Canis lupus familiaris: one gene and its partners. The protein of the gene in region 1 interacts with the protein of each later gene in a pairwise test. Links are inferred from orthologs where the notes say so. Each region holds a gene or a part of one and is shown in the gene's direction. Other genes may lie near its edges.

Evidence for each region. The genes of interacting proteins can lie anywhere in the genome.
Region 2: the proteins of CEP63 (region 1) and GSE1 interact in a two-hybrid assay, tested with the Homo sapiens proteins (2 studies listed by BioGRID and IntAct). The link is inferred for Canis lupus familiaris from reciprocal best matches to the Homo sapiens genes CEP63 and GSE1.
Region 3: the proteins of CEP63 (region 1) and SNRNP70 interact in binary tests that used the Homo sapiens proteins (3 or more experiments, as listed by UniProt). The link is inferred for Canis lupus familiaris from reciprocal best matches to the Homo sapiens genes CEP63 and SNRNP70.
Region 4: the proteins of CEP63 (region 1) and NDEL1 interact in a two-hybrid assay, tested with the Homo sapiens proteins (2 studies listed by BioGRID and IntAct). The link is inferred for Canis lupus familiaris from reciprocal best matches to the Homo sapiens genes CEP63 and NDEL1.

What each region holds. Positions count from the first base shown.
Region 1 is NC_049244.1:31,766,700-31,771,950, forward strand, and holds the start of CEP63 (centrosomal protein of 63 kDa), read left to right. Parts: upstream 1-1,618; 5' UTR 1,619-1,626; coding exon 1,627-1,760; intron 1,761-1,989; exon of another isoform or gene 1,990-2,064; intron 2,065-2,098; exon of another isoform or gene 2,099-2,225; intron 2,226-5,251. UniProt on the Homo sapiens protein: Required for normal spindle assembly.
Region 2 is NC_049226.1:67,514,360-67,519,081, reverse strand, and holds part of GSE1 (genetic suppressor element 1), read left to right. Parts: intron 1-1,514; coding exon 1,515-1,690; intron 1,691-2,137; coding exon 2,138-2,338; intron 2,339-2,880; coding exon 2,881-3,072; intron 3,073-3,483; coding exon 3,484-3,788; intron 3,789-4,289; coding exon 4,290-4,614; intron 4,615-4,722.
Region 3 is NC_049222.1:108,020,141-108,024,862, reverse strand, and holds part of SNRNP70 (U1 small nuclear ribonucleoprotein 70 kDa), read left to right. Parts: intron 1-1,373; coding exon 1,374-1,438; intron 1,439-1,603; coding exon 1,604-1,666; intron 1,667-2,560; coding exon 2,561-2,642; intron 2,643-4,722. UniProt on the Homo sapiens protein: Component of the spliceosomal U1 snRNP, which is essential for recognition of the pre-mRNA 5' splice-site and the subsequent assembly of the spliceosome. SNRNP70 binds to the loop I region of U1-snRNA.
Region 4 is NC_049226.1:33,423,500-33,428,221, forward strand, and holds part of NDEL1 (nuclear distribution protein nudE-like 1), read left to right. Parts: intron 1-396; coding exon 397-533; intron 534-1,939; coding exon 1,940-2,113; intron 2,114-3,582; exon of another isoform or gene 3,583-4,140; intron 4,141-4,722. UniProt on the Homo sapiens protein: Required for organization of the cellular microtubule array and microtubule anchoring at the centrosome. May regulate microtubule organization at least in part by targeting the microtubule severing protein KATNA1 to the centrosome.

The sequences.
Region 1 (5,251 bases):
ATCCTGCAGCAAGGATCCAGTACATCCTTTCCAAATTTGGCCTCCAGCTTTCTTCACTGTCCCTCTTCCAAATACCACTAACCCTGTTATACTTCCCTGGCTTTGCACTTAAAAGCCTCCCCACCCCACCACCACCCTCCCCCAATCACCAACGCCTACTCTTCCTTCCAAACTCAACACTGGTGTCAGCTCACCGGGTCAACAACTCATTTCCAGAGTCAGGCACTAAGGTGCCTTCACTGAATCTTCAGGGGCTGAAGAATGGAAACGATCAAGACCCCAAAGATTCAGATGCAGTGAAACGCCGGGACACCTGCACCCCGATGTTTCTAGCAGCAATGTCCACAATAGCCAGCCTGTGGAAGGAGCCTCGGTGTCCACGAAAGATGAATGGATCAAGAAGCTGTGGTTTATGTATACAATGGAATATTCCTCAGCCATTAGAGACGACAAATACCCACCATTTGCTTCGACGTGGATGGAACTGGAGGGTATTATGCTGAGTGAATAAGTCAATCGGAGAAGGACAATCATTTATTGTATGGTCTCATTCATTTGGGGAATATAAAAATTAGTGAAAGGGAATAAAGGGGAAAGGAGAAAAAATGAGTGGGAAACACCAGAAAGGGAGACAGAACATGAGAGACTCCTAACTCTGGGAAACGAACTAGGGGTGGTGGAAGGGGAGGAGGGCAGGGGGGTGGGGGGTGACTGGGTGACGGGCACTGAGGGGGGCACTTGGCAGGGTGAGCACTGGGTGTTATGCTATATGTTGGCAAATTGAACTCCAATAAATAAATTAAAAAAAAAAAAAAAAAAAGACCGGCAACGTCCGGGACACGGCCACTGTCCCGAGCACGTGCCACACTCGACAGAATGAGACACTACTACCTTCCCTAACGAACCTTCTCTTACGCACGTGACAGCCCGGGGCCTCCGGAGCAGGTGCTCCGTACAATGTTTCCAGCCACCCCCCGCCCCCCATCAGTCTACAAGACTTGGCTCCCGGGTCATCTCCCGCAGGAGGGCGGTTCCTAGACCCAGGCGGGGCGCGGTCCTCGTCCCTCCTGGGGTCCCTCAGTTCCCTGGACACAGCGAGTGGTCCCAACGCGGAGCTCGTCACACTTTCCCAGACCCGTGGTGTCATCCGGTTTCTGTGCTTTGCAGATCCGCAAGCCGGCGGTTAACGCGAACTAAGCGGGCCCGCCTTCCCCCGCGCTAGAAATGACCCTCGCGGGCCACCACCAGCCGTCCGCAAGCAGGGGGCCGCCCCGGTCCCCACTTCCGGCTGGAGATACCAAGTGTGGAAGCGGGGGAGGCCCGGAGCCGCCACGCGAGTGCCTTTCCACCCTCCAGGGCGAGCGGTGGGGACAGTGGTTGTGAAGATGAAGTGAAGACATCGGCCTCCACTGACGGGAGCGGGGAGAGGCGCCGCTGAGGAACCAACGCGTCCTCGTCCCTCCAAAACCGGGACTAGGGGCGCGGGAAAGCCTTACCCGCACCGGACTCAGCGCCGCACCCGCTTCCACCGGAACTTCCACCCCCCACCCCGCGCCTCTGAGGATCACGTGACCCGCGCGGTCCTGCGCTCCGATCCCCGGATGTGATGTGGGTGAGCCCATTTGCATGCGCGGAGGGGCGTCCTGGGAGGACGCTGCTCCGAGGAAGAAGCGAGGGGGCAGTGGGCGGAACGAACGTGCGGACGGCGGAGGCCGGACGTCGGGGTCGGCGGTGACGCGCGTGCGCGCCCCCGGCCGGAGGTAACGGCGGGAAGGCTCGGGGGCGCGCGCGCGTGCGCAGCGGCCCAGTAACCGCATGTGCGCCCGGTGGACGGGCGAGGGGCGGGCGTGTCCCGGTCCGGAGGCAGCCCTGGCTGCGGCGGCGCCGCGGGCTGCCCGGCCGTACGGCCCGGGGCTGGCGTCCGCCGCCGCCCGCTGGCCCCCGGGCCCGCCCTCGCCGGCCCGGCTCCGCTGCGGCGCCCCGCCCGTCGGCCTCGCCGCGTGTGCCCTGCGGAGCCGCGAAGGCGGACGTGGCCTTTGGCGGCGCGCCGTCCGGGCCAGCCAGGTGGTCAGCCCCTCCCCCGAGGCCGGGCCGGCGGGAGGGCGGCGGGGGGGGCGAGCTGCCGCCCAGGCCTCGTCTTCCGCGGCGGAGCCGGCTGCGGGCCGCTCTTCCTTTGCAGAGGAGGGACCCCCGGCACAGCCCTCCCGCCTAGGCTGCCAGATCTGGTTAGCTTCCCAGCGTTGTTGCGGCTTAGCCTTGGCGGCACTGGGGCCGATTCGCCTGGGGGCGGGGCGGGGGGCACGAGCAGTTTTTATTTTTATTTAAAAAAAAAATTTTTTTTAGCAGTTTTTAAAAAGTGAGTTAATAATGTTCGTCCAAGAGGTACGGAAATGCAGGAATCGTGAAGGACTGAAGAAGTTGGGAAACCCTGAGTTCACCGATCGTCTGACATCAGGGGCGCGAAAGAAATGATCCAGGGCTTAAAAGGGACAGTTCCTTAGGAGCACTTTATTTATTTATTTATTTATTTAAAAGATTTTATTTATTTATTCACGAGAGACAGGCAGGGACACAAGCAGCGGGAGAAGCAGGCTCCATGCAGGGAGCCCGAGGTGGGCCTCGATCCCGGGTCCCCAGGATCACGCCCTGGGTCAAAGGCAGGCGCTGAACCGATGAGCCACCCAGGCTGCCCCTTAGGGGCACTTTAAAAAAAAAAATTTTTTTTTTTTTAAGATTCTACTTATTTATTCATTCATGATAGACATAGAAAGGCAGAGACACAGGCAGAGGGAGAAGCAGGCTCCATGCAGGGAGCCCGACGTGGGGCTCGATCCCGGGTGTCCAGGATCAGGCCCTGGGCCACAGGCAGGCGCTGAACTGCTGAGCCACCCAGGGATCCCCCCTTAGGAGCACTTTAATCGTGAAGATACTTGAGGGCCCTAAGCCTAGGGCGCATACTGTCTTCCTTAACGTTCCTTACCAGCCTCAGAGTAAAAACGAGTCCAAGGTCATTGACTAGTCTTGATTTGTAGTTAGAGTAGCCTTATTTGCAGAGAGTAGTTTTCCTTGAGCCTTTCATCCGATTCCTTAAATAATTTCACACTTAATAAAGAAGTATTATAGTGTAGGTACACTACGGTAATACAGAAGTTCCCTAACTGCTTGCATTCCGTTTTATTTTATTTTATAGAGGCGAAGAGGAAGCCCTAGTAAGGACCATCAACTACATGTAACATCTACATATTCACATTTACACGTATTATAGCTGTAGCGTAATCATATAATAAGCTTCTGTATTTTCTTACTTGAAATACAGTACCGCCTTTAGTTTGTCATCAGCTTCTTGCCCCTCTGGCTACACCGTTCTCAGTGATCAGTATAGTAGAAGTGAAATTCTCTTGGGTTACAGACTCCTAAACATTTAGACATTCACACTGCCCTTCAGTGCATGTAGGTTCAGGTTTTAAAAATTATTTGTAATAAATGTGTATGTTAAGTGTACTGTGCCATATTCCTCGCATTAGAAGGTAGAAGATCTTTGCTTTGTCCTTCCTTTTCTCATTTAACGTTGCAGTGGTGGCCAGCTGTGACAAGATCAGTAAACCACTCTATCAGAGTTCCCTACTTAAAAAAAAAAGTCAACTTGATTTGAAATTCATCTGAAGCCAACATGAACAGGGATTGCAAGGATTTAATTTATTTTTATGTTAGGGTACCCGCAGCTAAATTTTTATGTTAGGGTACCCGCAGCTAAATTTGCTTTTTCAGCTTTACAAAACCATAGTCCTGTCATCACACTTACAAAAATTTATAAAAATTCCATGATGTCGATATTCAGTCTGGGTTTAGATTTCCCCAAGTGTCCCTTAAGTGACTTTTTACAATTAGCTCTTTTGAAGCAAAATCCCATAGAGATTCACATGTTGCATTGGTTGATACATCGATTAAATCTTTTTAAATAGAGCGGTTCCCTTGTGTCCCTTGTCCCCCTTAATATTCTAGATTTAGCTGATTGCATCTGCATGACATCCTTTTAACATGTACATCTTTTCCCTTTAAACCAGTAGTTAGATCTAGAATTGCACTGTCCACTATAGTAGCCACCAGCCAGCTGTAGCTATTAAATATTACCATGATATAAAACTAAAAATTCAGTTCCCTGGCTTCATTAGCCACATTTCAAGTGCCCAGTGGTCACAAGTGCCTGGTGGCTACCCTTTGAATGGTGCAGAAGTAAAATTTTTCAATAATTGCAGAAAGTTCTGTTGAATAGCACTGATCTAGAAGATCAGATTTAACTTTAATTTTGTGTGTGTGTGTGTGTGGGGGGGGGGTCAAGACGATTTTCCAGGTGGTACAGTAGACAATCTATTGCATTATCAGAGAGGTATGAAATGTCTGAGTTGTCTCTCTCTTAAGATTGAGCAATGTAATGGGTTCAAATATTGTTAGCCCAATCCATCCATTGTGAAATTCCCCATGAGCTTTTCACTTAATGGTGAACTCTTTTTTACAGATTTATATCGCCTATATTCATTATTGCATTAGGGATTGCAGAATGGTGATTTTCCCACTCCTGCCATTCCTTCAATATTTATTAGCTGGAAATCTTTTATGAGAAGAACTCTACCCCAGCAGCTATTTGACTGTCATCAGCTATTTGAAATATATTTTGTAGAGGAAAGGCAAGGAAAATGCTTAATTCTTTCCCTCTATTTTCAGACTACAGTAATGAGTTGGTGGCTTAGCAACCTCCAAAGGTAACCATGAGGGTTTTTGCCCTTTTTTTTTTTTTTTAATCATCATGGAGTTGAATATATTTAAACTGTTTCAACTTATTGCAGTCTTTTTTTTTTTTTTTTTTTTTTAATACTCAAATTGTCCTGCCTTTGGTCAGTGGCTTCCCCTTTAAGTTGGTTCCTGTCCACCTTGTTATGATTAGTAGTCTTTGATAATCAGTTTACCTATTTTCTGGTAAAACATGTTCCTCCCTCATTTATACATTAATGCCCACCAAAATGCCCTGGCTCTTTAGAGTAGGAACCAGTATTTAGAGACCACAGTCTGGGTGCTACAGGTGCTCTTATTGTTAGGTTGGTCAATGGTTCTAGCATTCACAGTGGCCAGTTAGGAAATATATATAGTTTTAAACAAATATACAGAATTCATACTGATATTTACATTTTATTTTATTTGTTATTTTTAAAGATTTTATTTACTCATGAGAGAGAGAGAGGCAGAGACACAGGCA
Region 2 (4,722 bases), on another chromosome or scaffold:
AGCCTCTGTGTGTCCAGCGATCGTTCTTAGACGTGTTCTCCAGTTTTTGCCTTGTTGAGGAGACGTGGTCCAAGCGTTGTGGTTCCCCCCTTTTTTCTAAGATTTTATTTATTTATTCATGAGAGACAGAGAGAAGCAGAGACACAGGCAGAGGGAGAAGCAGGCTCCAGGCAGGGAGCCCGATACAGGACTCAATCCCAGGATCCTGGGATCACACCCCAAGCCAAAGGCAGACACTCAACCAGTGAGCCACCTAGGGCCCCCCACCCCCCGCCCGCTTGTTTTCAAGGTGTGCTGCTTGTTTGGTGGCACAGGGGAACTACCGTGGATTTGGGTGGACATGCTGGGCTGTGACCCCCATGACTGCCACCTGCTGTCTCCCGATCCCCGTTTGCTGCCTGCTGGGGGTGGGCCTGGTGGTCCAGCCAGGTGAAGGAGGGACCTGGCCCAGGAGCTCTCGGGGTCAGGGGAGGCTGCAGCCACCACCTTGGAACCCGTGTGGCCAAGGTCGGACCTGGGCTAGTGGTGACCTCCCTTGGGCTGAGAAGGGCTGTCCCAATGATGGAGCGTCCCCCCCCCCCCCCCCAATTTACGTGGCTCCCTTTAGCCATGTAAATGACAGGAGCGCTCACAACTGTGGGTGGTGTGTGCTCTCGGGGCTAGACAGACACTCCTGCCCTGGCCGTGGTAGGGGCTCCTGTTGCTCCCCCCTCTTCCTGTCTTGAGCATCCCCCTTCTCTGGTTTCCCAGGGTCTGCCTCCCCACCAGGTCCCTCTGTATGTCCAGGAGTCTGGGGTCAGCAGGGCCACGGCCCACCCCCAGTGTGTACAGAGGTGTCCCCAGACAGGTCTGACCAGTTGGGTGCCACAGCTGCCTACTGTGGCTGGTGCCAGGGCTACCCCAGGGGCTGGCAGGGGGGTTAGGCTGGCGTGTTCAGCCTGGGGGCAGTGCCAGCTTCTCGGCTGTGACTCTCTGTGGGCGCCAGGGGGCCGAGGTATCTGTGACGCGTGCTGGCAGCTGTCAGCACAGCTGACGCTTCAGCCCCTGGGGGTCGTCTGTGCATGCTTGGTGATCAGCGCGCGGGGCTCTGGCTGGTTCTGCTGCTCCCTGCTGCAGAGTAGAGCTCACTTTCTGGGGTTGCTGGAACCACGTCGTCCCTGGGTTTGGGTTCAGAGCTGGCATGGCGCTGTGAGAAACGCACACTGGGAAGACATGGGTGTTGGCTCGAGGTGGGGACTGTGCTGTGTCCCCTTGTGGGCGCTTGTTTCCATGGCCCCGGCAATCAGATGGGTTCCCGTCCTGCCCGGCATGAGAACCTGTGCCCTCCCGTCTCACCACCTCACCATGCTTGCTCCCTCCTGTGCGCACCCCAGGTCTGGGTAGAAACCCTTAAGGAAAGTCCTCCAGAACGGGAGCCTCTCTGAGCCTGGGGAGCCCCGGCCTTGCGTTGTCAGCAGTCTGAGCCGGCTCCTGCCCCGCGGCCCTGTCCTGACCCAGTGCTCTCTGTCCTCCAGCAGGACGCCGGCTCTCGGGGCAGCAGCAGTGGTCGGGAGCGCCTCATCGTGGAGCCCCCGCTGCCCCAGGAGAAGGCAGGGGGCCCAGCCATCCCCTCCCACCTGCTCAGCACCCCCTACCCTTTCGGCATCTCCCCCAGCTCTGTGGTGCAGGACTCACGCTTCCCACCACTCAAGTAAGTCTGCAGATTGGAGGCCGGGGGGTTGGGGGGGGTGCACATGTGCTTGGGGTCTGGATCCCGGAGGCTCTAGCGGCAGTGCCCGGCGGTGGGTCTGTACCAGCTGAGCCTGAGAGCTGCCAGATGGTGGCTGAGCCCCGGGCCTGCAGCCCCGTCTGTGCCTGCTGTCCGTTTCCACGGTGAGATGGCGGCTGGCTCTCCGACCCCACCCGAGCCCCTGTTCTGAGCCCTTGGAGCCAGGGGTTCCTCCAGGCCATGGATGGCAGGCCCGAGGAGCAGCCACTGCCCACGTCTTGTTTGCAGAGGCCAGGACCTGTCTCTGGAGACCCCTTGTTCTGGCGGCGGCGGGAACAGGGGTGTGTGGGGAGACTGGCCTGTTGCCCAGCCTGGCGCAGGAGCCCTGCTCACCACATCTTTCACTCATCCACGTGTCCTCACCTGCAGCCTCCAGCGGCCCGTGCACCACGTGGTGCCCCCCAGCACGGTCACCGAGGACTACCTGAGGAGCTTCCGGCCTTACCACACCACCGAGGACCTCCGCATGTCCTCCCTGCCTCCCCTTGGCCTGGACCCAGCCGCTGCGGCCGCTGCCTACTACCACCCCAGCTACCTGGCCCCACACCCGTTCCCCCACCCGGCCTTCAGGTGAGCTCTCTGCCCCCCAGTGAGTCCCCGGGGCTGTTGCCCCCATGCCCTCATGCCCTGTACCAGGCTCCATGTCTCAGTGCAGCCACCAGCCTTCCAAGTTGCCAGCAGGGGTTTGCCCCCGGGAGTGCCCCCTTCATCCATGCTGTCCCTCTGCCAGACGCTCCCCCATTTCCTTGTGGGCCTGCTGCTGGCACGGCGCGTCTTCACCTAGTGGAGCCACCCCTTTGCTGCGTAACTGAGACGGCCCGGGGAAGGTGTGTCCCTCATCTCTGCTGGGTGGAGGAGCCTCCCAATTCCTAGCCCGCCCGTCGGTAGAGCGGGCTGCTCCCAGGGGGCCTGCTGCTCGGGCCTGGGAGGGTCCTGGCTGGGCTGCAGCGTGGCAGGCAGTCTCTCAGGGCCTTTGGGGAGACTCCCGGCCTCTGTCCTGTCTGCCGCACTCACGTCAACACTCCTACCTGGCTGGGGGGTCTGTTGAGATGGGCCCGGGCTTTGCCTTCTCTGGCTTTGCTTCTCACCTGGCCCCTACCTTCTCTGCACAGGATGGATGACTCCTACTGCTTGTCAGCCCTACGGTCCCCTTTCTACCCCATTCCCACGCCCGGCTCCCTGCCTCCCCTGCACCCGTCGGCTATGCATCTCCACCTCTCCGGGGTCCGCTATCCCCCTGAGCTCTCCCACTCGTCCCTGGCAGCGCTGCACTCAGAGCGGATGTCCAGCCTCAGTGCCGAGAGGTAAGCTGCGTCCTGGGCTGGGGTGTCCCTGCTCCTCCCGCCCTGACAGAGTGCAGCACAGCCCACGTCAGAGCCTGGCTCATGCGTGCTTGGGCTAGTACACGTGTCCTTGGTCTGCGCACCTGCGAGGTGGGCAGTGACAGGTGCTGCAGTTGGAGCTCCTTGCTGGTACCTGGCAGCGCTGTTGTCAGACACCGGCCTCCTGGTGTGAGCTGCTGAGGCTTGGGGAGTTGGGCGGGTGGCTTTTGGTCCGGGGAACTTGGAGTCTCTTGGGGAGTTCATAAAAGCAGAGAGCCCTGCGAACCTGCTGTCGGGGTGCAGGTCACGGTGCCAGTCTCCCCTTGGGGGGGTTTCCTGGTCCCCCCTGCACCAGCACAGCGGTTGTCACCACCTCTTTCCACTCGCCCACAGGCTGCAGCTGGATGAGGAGCTGAGGCGGGAGCGCGAGCGGGAAGCTGACCGCGAGCGGGAGAAGGAGCGTGAGCGAGAGCGGGAGAAGGAGCGCGAGCGGGAGAAGGAGCTGGAACGCGAGCGGGAGAAGGAACGGGAGCGGGAGCTGGAGCGCCAGCGGGAGCAGCGGGCCCGTGAGAAGGAGCTGCTGGCGGCCAAGGCGCTGGAGCCGGCCTTCCTGCCGGTGGCTGAGCTGCACGGGCTGCGGGCCCACGCCCCCGAGGAGCGGGGCAAGCCCTCGGAGCAGCTGACCCCGACCCGAGCAGGTACCGCGTGGCCGGCGACCTGTGGGCAGGCGCGCGCTACAGGGCCCATTTCAGGCTACAAATGTGAGGTCAGGGCTGGGAGCTGGGGAGACGTGCCCGGTGGCCCCCAATAGGAGTACGAGAGATGGAGCTCTCCTCGGGGTGCTGCACGCAGTAGTAAACTGCAGTGAAAGCGTTAGGAAGCGAGGGGTGGGTTTTGAGTGTTCTTTACCTTTGTCTTGAACGTCGGCTGCTTCATTGGGAATATACTTAATCAGCCCTGGGAACGGCTCGCTAACCGGTGTGCGTGGTGGTAGAGAAGTCAGCCTGCCGTTGTGAGCCAGTGCGAGCCCGCTGCGGCACTCCGGTGGGTCCGACTGGGAGCAGTGCCCACCGCCAGCGAGCATCCCCGGAGGTCGTCTGCCCTGGCGAGAGGGGCAGGTGGCAGTGGGAGACAGCGGGGACGTGTGGACCGGCCCGCAGCTCTGAGATCCCGCCGTGGCGGCCTTTCTCTCCCCACAGAGAAGCTGAAGGAGGCGGGCCTGCAAGCACCGAAGCCCGTGCAGCACCCCTTGCATCCCGCGCCCGCCCCCCACCACACCGTGCCCAGCCTCCTCTCCAACCACAGCATCTTCTCGCTGCCGGGCAGCAGCGCCGCCACGGCCCTGCTCATCCAGCGCACCAACGAGGAGGAGAAGTGGCTGGCGCGGCAGCGGCGCCTGCGGCAGGAGAAGGAGGACCGGCAGTCTCAGGTGTCAGAATTCCGGCAGCAGGTGCTGGAGCAGCACCTGGACATGGGCCGGCCCCCGGTGCCCACGGAGGCGGAGCACAGGCCGGAGAGCGCCAGGTGGGGCCCGCCGGGTCTGGGCGCACCGGGGAACCCCCGGGTGGGAGAGGGTGTCTTCACACTTGCATTCTCCTGTTGCCAGCCACCATTTGTGGGACACCTTCAGTT
Region 3 (4,722 bases), on another chromosome or scaffold:
CCCTGACACCTTATGACAGTTCCAGGTGCTTGCTAGTACTTAACAGGTACCTGTTGGGTGAATAGATGAGAGCCGCCCGGTGCAGGCTGAAATACTGGGGCACAGAAAATCACAGCACAGGGGGATGAAGTAGGGTGAACAACCGGAGGGGCAGGCTCAAAGACAGCGTCATCATCAAAGGCTACCATCAGTTTCCAGGTAGTTATTCTTTTAGATGTGGGCTCCATTCTCTGCTTTTTAGTAAATTCTCTAAAATCACCTTGCACTTCATTTAGGTTTGCGGTGTCGCCCTCTCACAGAAAACAGACCTGTAGTTTTATTTCTCTGGCTTCTGATAATATCTAGAATGTCTTTTTACGGAGCTAGTTAGGGCCTAAGTATTCATCATGGAGCCCCTGGCCCATGAGGCCAGGCTGGGCTATAGAGCGGGGCTTGGCCTCTTTGCTGATCTGATGCTTTTTCTTCTTCCATGCATCAGGGGCTAGTTTTGTTTCCATTTGCAAAATGATGGACTCTCCACATCTAGCACAGTGCCTGGCCTAATCACGTGGGCAATACATTATTAATGTTTCTTTTCTCATATTCTCCACAATATGGCAGGTCATTCTAAGGTGACACTGTGTCATGGAAGAAACGCCTCCACTGGGCGGTGGTCAGGGTGCCACTGGGGCCCTGGGAGGAGTCAAGGGCCATTGTATGTGACTGGGTCACCGTAGTCTGTGAAAAGGACTTCTTCCCAGGCCTGAGCCATAAGAATCACTTCTGGAATTGGTTTTGTAATAGATCTCTGCTTCTGTCTGTGGAGACAGTTATTCCTCAGTGGCCTTGCAGGAGTAAGAATATGATCAGCATCTTGTGCCCTTGGTTTCTTCCTGAGGCACAGAGGCCATAGTACAAAGGGAAGAAGGCAAGGCTGGAGGCTGGGGCACTCTGGCTTCCCTCCCGGCCCTCCCTCAGTCTTTATCTAAGGTTTCTCTGAGCTGTAGTTGCACTCTATGCCAACGGGTGGCAGTGTGGCCCTGCAGGTGAGGGAGGAAACTGGGCACCTGGAGTGATCAGGCTGCCTCTGCAGAGACGCCCAGTCTTCCCCTAGAAGGGACTGGAGCTGTAGCATGTGTAGGTCTGAAATTGCGTTCAGGCCAGCCCTATCCAGTGAGCTTGAGGTTGCCTAGCCCCTTTCCCCATCAGCCTAAATTGGCTACTCACATAAAGGCCACTGTGCTCTAGGGAAACTGGAGAGAGGAGCATGCCCGAGGCCTCTAGGTCACAACGGTTTTCTTCTAGCAAATGGGCCTCCACCCATTTTCTGTGTCTGTCTTGCCAAATGAGACTGTTGACACCTTGTACTTAGCCATTCTGTTCTTCCTGCACAGGGGACCCTCACAATGATCCCAATGCTCAGGGTGATGCCTTCAAGACTCTCTTTGTGGCTAGAGTGGTGAGTCCCCAGCTCCCCACCCCTGGAGCCCCAGAGGAGCCTAGAACCCGGGGCTGGTGAGAGTTTGGGTTTGGGACAATGGACAGTAGGCTAAGTTCTGGAACGTTCTGAGGGCTTTGGGACAGCTTGTTTCTCCCACTTAACTTTGTATCTGTCTCCTGGTAGAACTATGACACAACAGAATCCAAGCTCCGGAGAGAGTTCGAGGTATACGGACCCATTAAAAGAGTGAGTGGACTGGGGTCTGGGCTGCTTGAATTGGAACAGGGTGCAGGGAGGGAGAAGGCTGGCTCTTGGCCCTGAGGATGCATCCCATCATGTTGGGGCTTCAGAAGCCGTGGCCTGCATTTACAAATTGACTACATTTCTTTTTTTTTTTTTTTTTTAATTTATTTATGATAGTCACACAGAGAGAGAGAGAGAGAGAGAGGCAGAGACACAGGCAGAGGGAGAAGCAGGCTCCATGCACCGGGAGCCCGATGTGGGATTCGATCCCGGGTCTCCAGGATCGCGCCCTGGGCCAAAGGCAGGCGCTAAACCGCTGCGCCACCCAGGGATCCCCAAATTGACTACATTTCTATGCAGCAGACCTTGGGGTAGCAGGAGTAAAATTAGGAAGTAACAGCTGCTTTTTTGTTGATTTAGGGTATGGGTCAGCAGACTACAAACTATTTGTAAATAAAGGTTTATTGGTAACCAGTCAAGCCCATTTGTTCACTATCGTCTGTGACTGCTGTTGGTGTAAGGCAGTCCGGTAATTGGACAGATTGTAAGGCCCTCTGAGCTGAAAATATCTGTTGTCTGGCCCTTTAGAGACAAAGTATAAATGTGTGTGCTGATTCTCATTTTAGAGCAAGGCTTTATGTTTAACTGACATGTCTTGAATTCTTGAAGTCACTGGAGTGCTCTGGGCAGTAGTGATGGCTGGAGATCATTGTGCACAAACACTGCTGAGCCCAGTATGATGAGAGCATTAGTCACTCTGGGCTCTTGAGGACAGGGAGAGGGGTCTGAGACATCTGTCGCTGGCAGGAGCTAGCCCAGGGCCTGGCACGCAGGCTCTGCGATTGAATGGGTGGGATTTCCTTGCCTGAGAACTAATCTTTGCCCGCCTCCCCCCAGATACACATGGTCTACAGTAAGCGGTCAGGAAAGCCCCGCGGCTATGCCTTCATCGAGTATGAACATGAGCGAGACATGCATTGTGAGTACCTCAGGCCTGAGCCCTGCCCTCTGACCCTCTCTCTCTATGCTGCCCAGCCCCTTCCCGTCGTCTGTCCCCACCCCCCACCCTGCCAAACCTGACATTAGCGATGTCTCTTCTCCTCCTCCCTCTGTTTCTGATATATCTTTTTTTTTTTTATATACGTGTTTTTTAAAAAACAAAAACCAAAATCCCCCACAACGTGTGTGTGTGTGTGAACCTGGGGAGGTAAGTGTCACACGTTGAACCTCAGGGGCAAGGAGGGAACTGGGTGGGGGCTGGGGCCAGCTGGAGGTTGGGGGAAGGGGTCGGATGTTCGGGGAGCCTCTCCCCATTCCCCCCACCAGAATTGGGGGCGGCCAGGTTGGAATGAGGACTGGCCTTTGAACCTGCCCTCTCTTCCCCCCCAGCAGAGCTGGGGCTGGGCCACCCGACCCTCTGCCTCCCCACCCCTGGCCCCCCACCCTGTTCCTCAGCGGGCAGTGGGTTGGTAGGCGTGTTCAGCGCCTGCCCCCCCATCTCCAAAGCCCCCTTTGAGGCTGCGGCGGCGTCCACATGGGCAGGGATGGGTGGGTGGGGGCGGGCAGGGCTGCGGCGTGTCCAGGGGCCGCCGTATTAATTGACTGTTCTTATTGTCACTGCAGCCACCACGCAGCTGGCTTGCAGCTGATGCTTACGCTCCCCTTACAACACCTCAGTGTATGGTTGGTATAAGGGTTTGTATCATGGGTAAGATCACTCAGCACCGCACACCAGCCCAGCTTAGCCAGGCAGCTCAGGAGCAGTGAGGCGTCCCTCTTCCCATCCCCAGTCGCCCCCTCAGCCTTCCCGCACCCACAGCCCTTTCCTGGTTTGGGTGCCCCTTGTCCCTTCTGCCACCCCTTCCCCCCAATCCACATATGCTCTCTGATAATCTTGCTGATCCCAGGAAGGAAAGGATGAACCCTGATGGGAAAGGCTGCTGGCCTCTCCAACTGGGCTCCACCCCACCCCTGACTTACCTGGCTTCACGATGTCAGCGGCAAGGTTACAGGAATACTGAAACGGGATGCACGAGGGTGAGGGCTACGTGTGGAACCCTTCAACCCTTTGCTGCCTGCCCCCATTCTTCTGTGGGGCTGTCACTGTAGTGGCCCTGGAGAATCTTTTTGGTTGCTAGACTCGGGTTGCTGTGCCCATTTTCTGTCTGCCTTATCATGGTTGAGGCCTACCAAGAGGGCTGTGGTGCCCAGCGGCTCTGCAGAGTGCATGGAATTGGGGATTGGGGTGAGGGAGGGATTGAGTGACAGGCTGCAAGTAGCTGATGGTGTTGTAGATTTTACTTAGGACCCTTCCACTGTCTAGAGACCTAAGAGAGGGAGAGAAAGAGAAGCCTAGAAGTACACATGTCACATGATTTCTTTGTTGGTACTCCTGGGTTGGGCCTCTTCTGGGGTTTGGGACATTGAACCAGAGCAGGGTTCCTTTGCTTGACTGTGCTCCCGGTCCTTAAATCCCTTTCCCGTAATACCCTCCTCTGGGTTTGGGGGGGCCAAGTGGCCCCTCCTCCAGATCACGGGCAGCACTCCATCTCCTGGACCCCCCACCCCCAGGCTGTCCCTTATGTGCCAGCCTTTGAGTGGCAGGTGGTGGGAGGGAGTGTGGAATCCAAAGTGGAGAAGTCCTTCCATGTGCTGCGAGGAGGGTGGGGCGTGTGCCTAGTTCAGTGTGGACTTTACTGGGAAAGGTGAGGGCCAACAGTTTTGCTAAGGCCTCCCCAGCCTTCTTTTTAAATACAACAAGCTAGTTCCAGGGCATTACCAGCTCCTAGACTTGATGTTAATCCTTGTCTCCCCCTCTTTCAAGGCCTCCATGAGGTTTCTTTGGGGTCCACCACTGCCTCTGCCTGTCTCTAGGTGGTGCAGGAGATGTGGTTCCTCTCCCTCTCTGTGGCTCCCTAGAACCCCCCCATTTCCCTTCCCTGTAGCTTTAGCTGACCCTATGGTGGTGGGTGTGGGGTCTGTGCGCGTGCTCAGGTAAGCTTGGGGGCTCCAGGTAAGCGGTCCCGTGTCCCCCCCCGGGAAGCCCGCCTCCTCGCCAG
Region 4 (4,722 bases), on another chromosome or scaffold:
GTAAATGGAGTGGGAGCTAGGACTTGATGTTTCAAACAAATAACTAATTCTTAGTGTACTCTAAAATTGTTGAAAAGTTTTCTTCTTGAAAATGTGTAAACTTTGATTGTTTAACATTCAGTGGGGAGATATAATGTGTAATAAATGGCCTTCCTTTAAGGAATCATAGGGAATTTTGGCGGGAATTTAAAAGAATATATTGAATGGCCCGAACTAATAGCAGAGATACTAAATGCCACCAAAAGTCAGAAGGCATTGAGATCATTCTCTTTCAACTGGGCCAGGCTTTCTAGGTCAGGAAATGGCATGAGATCAACTGACATTTTTCTTTTGTATTAGCTATTTGCATGCTGCTTATTTAATTTGTGGACTCCATTTTTTTTTTTTTTTCTTAAGGGCAACAATAGTTTCACTGGAAGACTTTGAACAAAGGTTAAATCAGGCCATTGAACGCAATGCATTTTTAGAAAGTGAACTTGATGAAAAGGAATCTTTGTTGGTCTCCGTACAACGGTTAAAGGATGAAGCAAGAGGTAAAAACTGACAACTTAAAGTTTATCCTTTACCTTAATGTCTCTAAGTCCGAGTTCTAAGTTAGGTTTGGGATCTGCTCTGAAAGTTGTGCACATTTGTATACTTTTGTCAGGCACTACACTAAGTGTTTTTAGTCTCTTAACACCTATGAGCCAACTCTGAGAGGTAGGTAGTATCCCCATTTTATGGGTCAGAAAACCAAGGCATGGAGAGTTTGAGTTTTGTCCAAAGCCTTAAGAGCTTTTCAGTGGGAATTCAGACAATGGTCTTTTTTCCAAAACCTTAATTCTGTTCCCACTGTTCATGTCCTGCTTGGTTTGTTTTGGTGTTTTATATTTTGCTTCTGTGTAAATAATTTTGTGTTATGCACATAGTAACACTGCATATGTGCACATATTATAAAGAAGAGGCTATTTTCGTCTTTATGATATTCTGCATTCTACCATGTATTAAAAAGAGAGGGAGGGAAAGAGACTTTTAAAGGAAAGTATATAATCACCACATGCATAATATGTGTACAGCACTCTGACTTCCCTCCCCCTTTCCTCCCAGCCCCTGGAAACACCATTCTCCTTTCTGTGTCTATGAATCTGATGACTCTAGGGACCTCATATACTGGAGTCATACAGTGTTTGTCCTTTTGTCACTGGGGTTTTGTCCTTTTTCACTTAGTGTAATGTCCTTGAGGTTCATCCATGTGGTAGCACGTATCAGAATGTCCTTCCTATTTAAGGCTGAATAAGATCATATTAAATGCTTGTATTGCATTTTCTTTATCCATTATCCATGGGCAGACATTTGGATATAATACTCAGAAATGGGATAACTTTGTGTCCTTTTTAAATGTGTGTTCTGTAGGTCAGTTGCATAACTGGAAAAGAAAGTGTTAATTTTGGCTTAAAAATTCAGTATTTGAAAGCAAGAAAAAAATTGCAACTATTTTGAATACTTCTTTTCTAAAACAGAGTAGTGCATTTTGACAACTAATAAAAAAATACTAACCCATATAAAATTACAAAAATGTACTTCATTGATTTTGCAGTAATTGCCAAAGTACATCATTTCAAAATAAAAGCAAATGAGTTGAAAAGAATATTTATTTTTGTGTCGTATAGGCTCATTGCGAGTTGTTCTTTGGACTCTGCCCTATTTTTATATAATGAGCATAGTTAACTGTTCTCTTAGGTTATAGCATTTGTATCAATTCTAGCATTTAAAAATTATTCTCAAAGATCATTTAAACAGTAGGGTTGTCATTTTTATACCCTGAGGAAAAAAAAGTGTTATGTAGGAAACTCTTCTTTTGAGATATAGTAATTGTGGAAGTTATGGCATTTTAGAGGTGACTTTGCTTGGGTGATTTGCTTCCTCTGGTGAGTTCTATTACCTGTGCCCCATTTTGCAGATTTAAGACAAGAACTGGCAGTTCGGGAAAGACAACAGGAAGTAACCAGAAAGTCGGCCCCCAGTTCTCCGACTCTTGATTGTGAAAAGATGGACTCTGCTGTCCAGGCATCACTTTCTTTGCCAGCCACTCCTGTTGGCAAGGGCACAGAGAACAGTTTTCCTTCACCAAAAGGTTTGCAGTGTCTTTTCTTTCTGAACCTGTGGTAGATTATCCAACTGAGGAGGGTTTGCTGGGGAAGCAGGGCAAGGCACGTGTAAGTGATGGTTTCAGTGGAGAAGTTGGGGAAGTCACGCGCTCTGTGAGGCAGAAGAAGTTTCCACGGTTGCTCCCACACGGGGAGCGGGGTGACGGTGGCCACATGTAAAACAGGAGCAGCTCAATCAATTGAGATTTTAAAAAGAAAGGTTTTCAGGCAAAGTCGACCTTTTGATGATGGCAGTAATATACGCTTATGCCAAAAAATCGAGAAAGAAAAGAGAGGGGCCCATTCTTCAGTCCTACCCCTGAAAGCCAACTACTCTTGACACCAAATTTCCCTGCCATATGTGCTTGTTTGTTTTTGCACACGCCTACTTGTTTCACGTTTGGGGATCATTTTTATATATGGTTTATTTCTCTTGCCACTGAACCGATTGTAAAGGACTAGAAGCCTTCCTACACAGACTGTATAGAGACTCGTTGAGCTGCCATTCAGTCTCATGTAAGACTGGCTCAGGTGGACACGGCTGTTCTTTTACATGCTTACATGCATACATGTTCTTTTACATGGCTGCCGTTTTCAGAGGTGACGTTTGGAGTAACCAATGACTAATACATGGAGAATGTTCCTTTTTCCATCAGCAGAGGTTTTTTTTTTTTTTTTTTTTTTAATCCAGATAAGCAGAGAAAACACTTAGCAGCCACTATACACAGAACCTTACAATGGAACCCCAAAGCTCTTAATTCAGATTTATTTTGTTTTTGAGCTTATTGCTATTTCAGCATTTCCTATTCCTCCATACTTTTTTTCTTCCCAAAATAAGTTCTTTCTTCCCCTCTTTTTTAAGTAAAGGATTTTATCTTCCAGCGTGATAGAAGGATTTTTCTCTGGGCAGTTAGTGAAGTAAGTGCTCTGTGTCTGTGCCGACCATTCCAGTAGCCACTAGCCACATGTGACTGTTCACATTTCTATTAATGTTAGTTAAAATTTAAAATTCAGTTTCTCAGTTGTATTAGCTGCATTTCAGGTGCCCAGAAGCCCTTGAATGGATAACTACTCATCCCACTTTCATCTAGCTATTAGCGTGAAAATACTGTAGAGTCAGAGGTGGTGTTATTTGTACTCATGCTGAGTGTGCTGCTGAGGATGAGAGCAGGCAGGGTAGAGATGACAGCAGCCATCAGAAACTCACTGTCCACTTTTCAGAAGGGCTACTTGGGCATTTGAGGATCTCAGAATTGCTAACATTTGAGAATTAACAAAGATTTGCTTTTAGGTACTAACTAGAATTCTGCAGGTCAGTTCTGAAAATTTGTTAGTTGAGTACTAATCTTCTGAATAGTCTGGAACTTCAGTCAAGGTTAATACCCAGGGAGGTGCCCATCCTCTAATAGCTGATTAGAGTTTTAACTCAGGGACTTGGCTGCGGTGAGCCGGGCGAGGTCAGTGGGACACAGAGCTTGCTTGCTCTGGCAGAGGGTTAAGACATGTCAACTCCAAGGCAGGAAATTTGTCCAAGTAGACAGATTTTTAGACTGGAACTGATGGCATGAACTTTCACTAACCTAAAAGCTGCTGTGCGCTGGATCACAGCAGTTGAATGACAAATCAGTCAGGACAGACCTAATGAGAAGCAGGAGGTTAGAGGAATCAGTGCAAATTGGAAAGGCTGAGCCCGATGAAGTGGTCTGTCTTTAATTGCATTTCATCGATAACAATGACTGTTTCCAAAAAGCATTTAAGACAACTTACCATAAAAGCACAGGTTTCATAATTTGTGGAGAACAGGGAGAACTGAGATCTGGAAATCCTTGCTGGGAAAAGTACAGCAGTTTATTTATATCCTGTCAAGTGCCTGTTCTGTGCCACGCACTTTTCTAGGTGGTGGGGGTCGACTGGTGAATAATAAGGTGAAGTCCCTATCTTCAGTGAGACTATCTCCTGGAGGCTGAGGACAGAACAGCAGCAGCAACAAAGCATTTACATACTGAAGAGCACTCTGTAGAAAATGGATGAAAGAATAACAGCTAACATTTATTGAGTATTAACTATGTGCTAGGTATTTAAAAAGCATAGTAACTGAAACTTCATGATGACTTTATAAGTGCTGTCATTAGCCCTCTTCTACATATGGGCAACTTACTAAAGCTCACACAGTTACTGAATGGCAGAGATGGACTTGTCTCTTGCAGTGTAGCCCAAGAGCTATTAACCATCGTGTATATGACTTCAAAAATAAATTGAAGAAATGTGCATGACTGAAAACCTTTGCCGAGAGGCGTGCAAGAAGATGGGAATGTCACCCTGAATGGCTCCGATTCTGAATGGGAAGCCTCTTACAGTAGCCATTGTATCCAAATCAGTCAGCTGTTTAAATTCCTAATGACATCAACACAGGGTTTAAGTTGGCAGGTTGATTTTAAAGTTACTCTGAAGAATAACTGTGCCAAGAAAGTTCAAAATAAGGTGAAGACAAGAGGCTTTCCCCTTCAAGGTACCACAGTATGTTTTAACTTTGTAATAATGAAAGCAGCATGTTTCTGGTGAAATAGATTAATAATTCAGTGGAACTAAAATATAT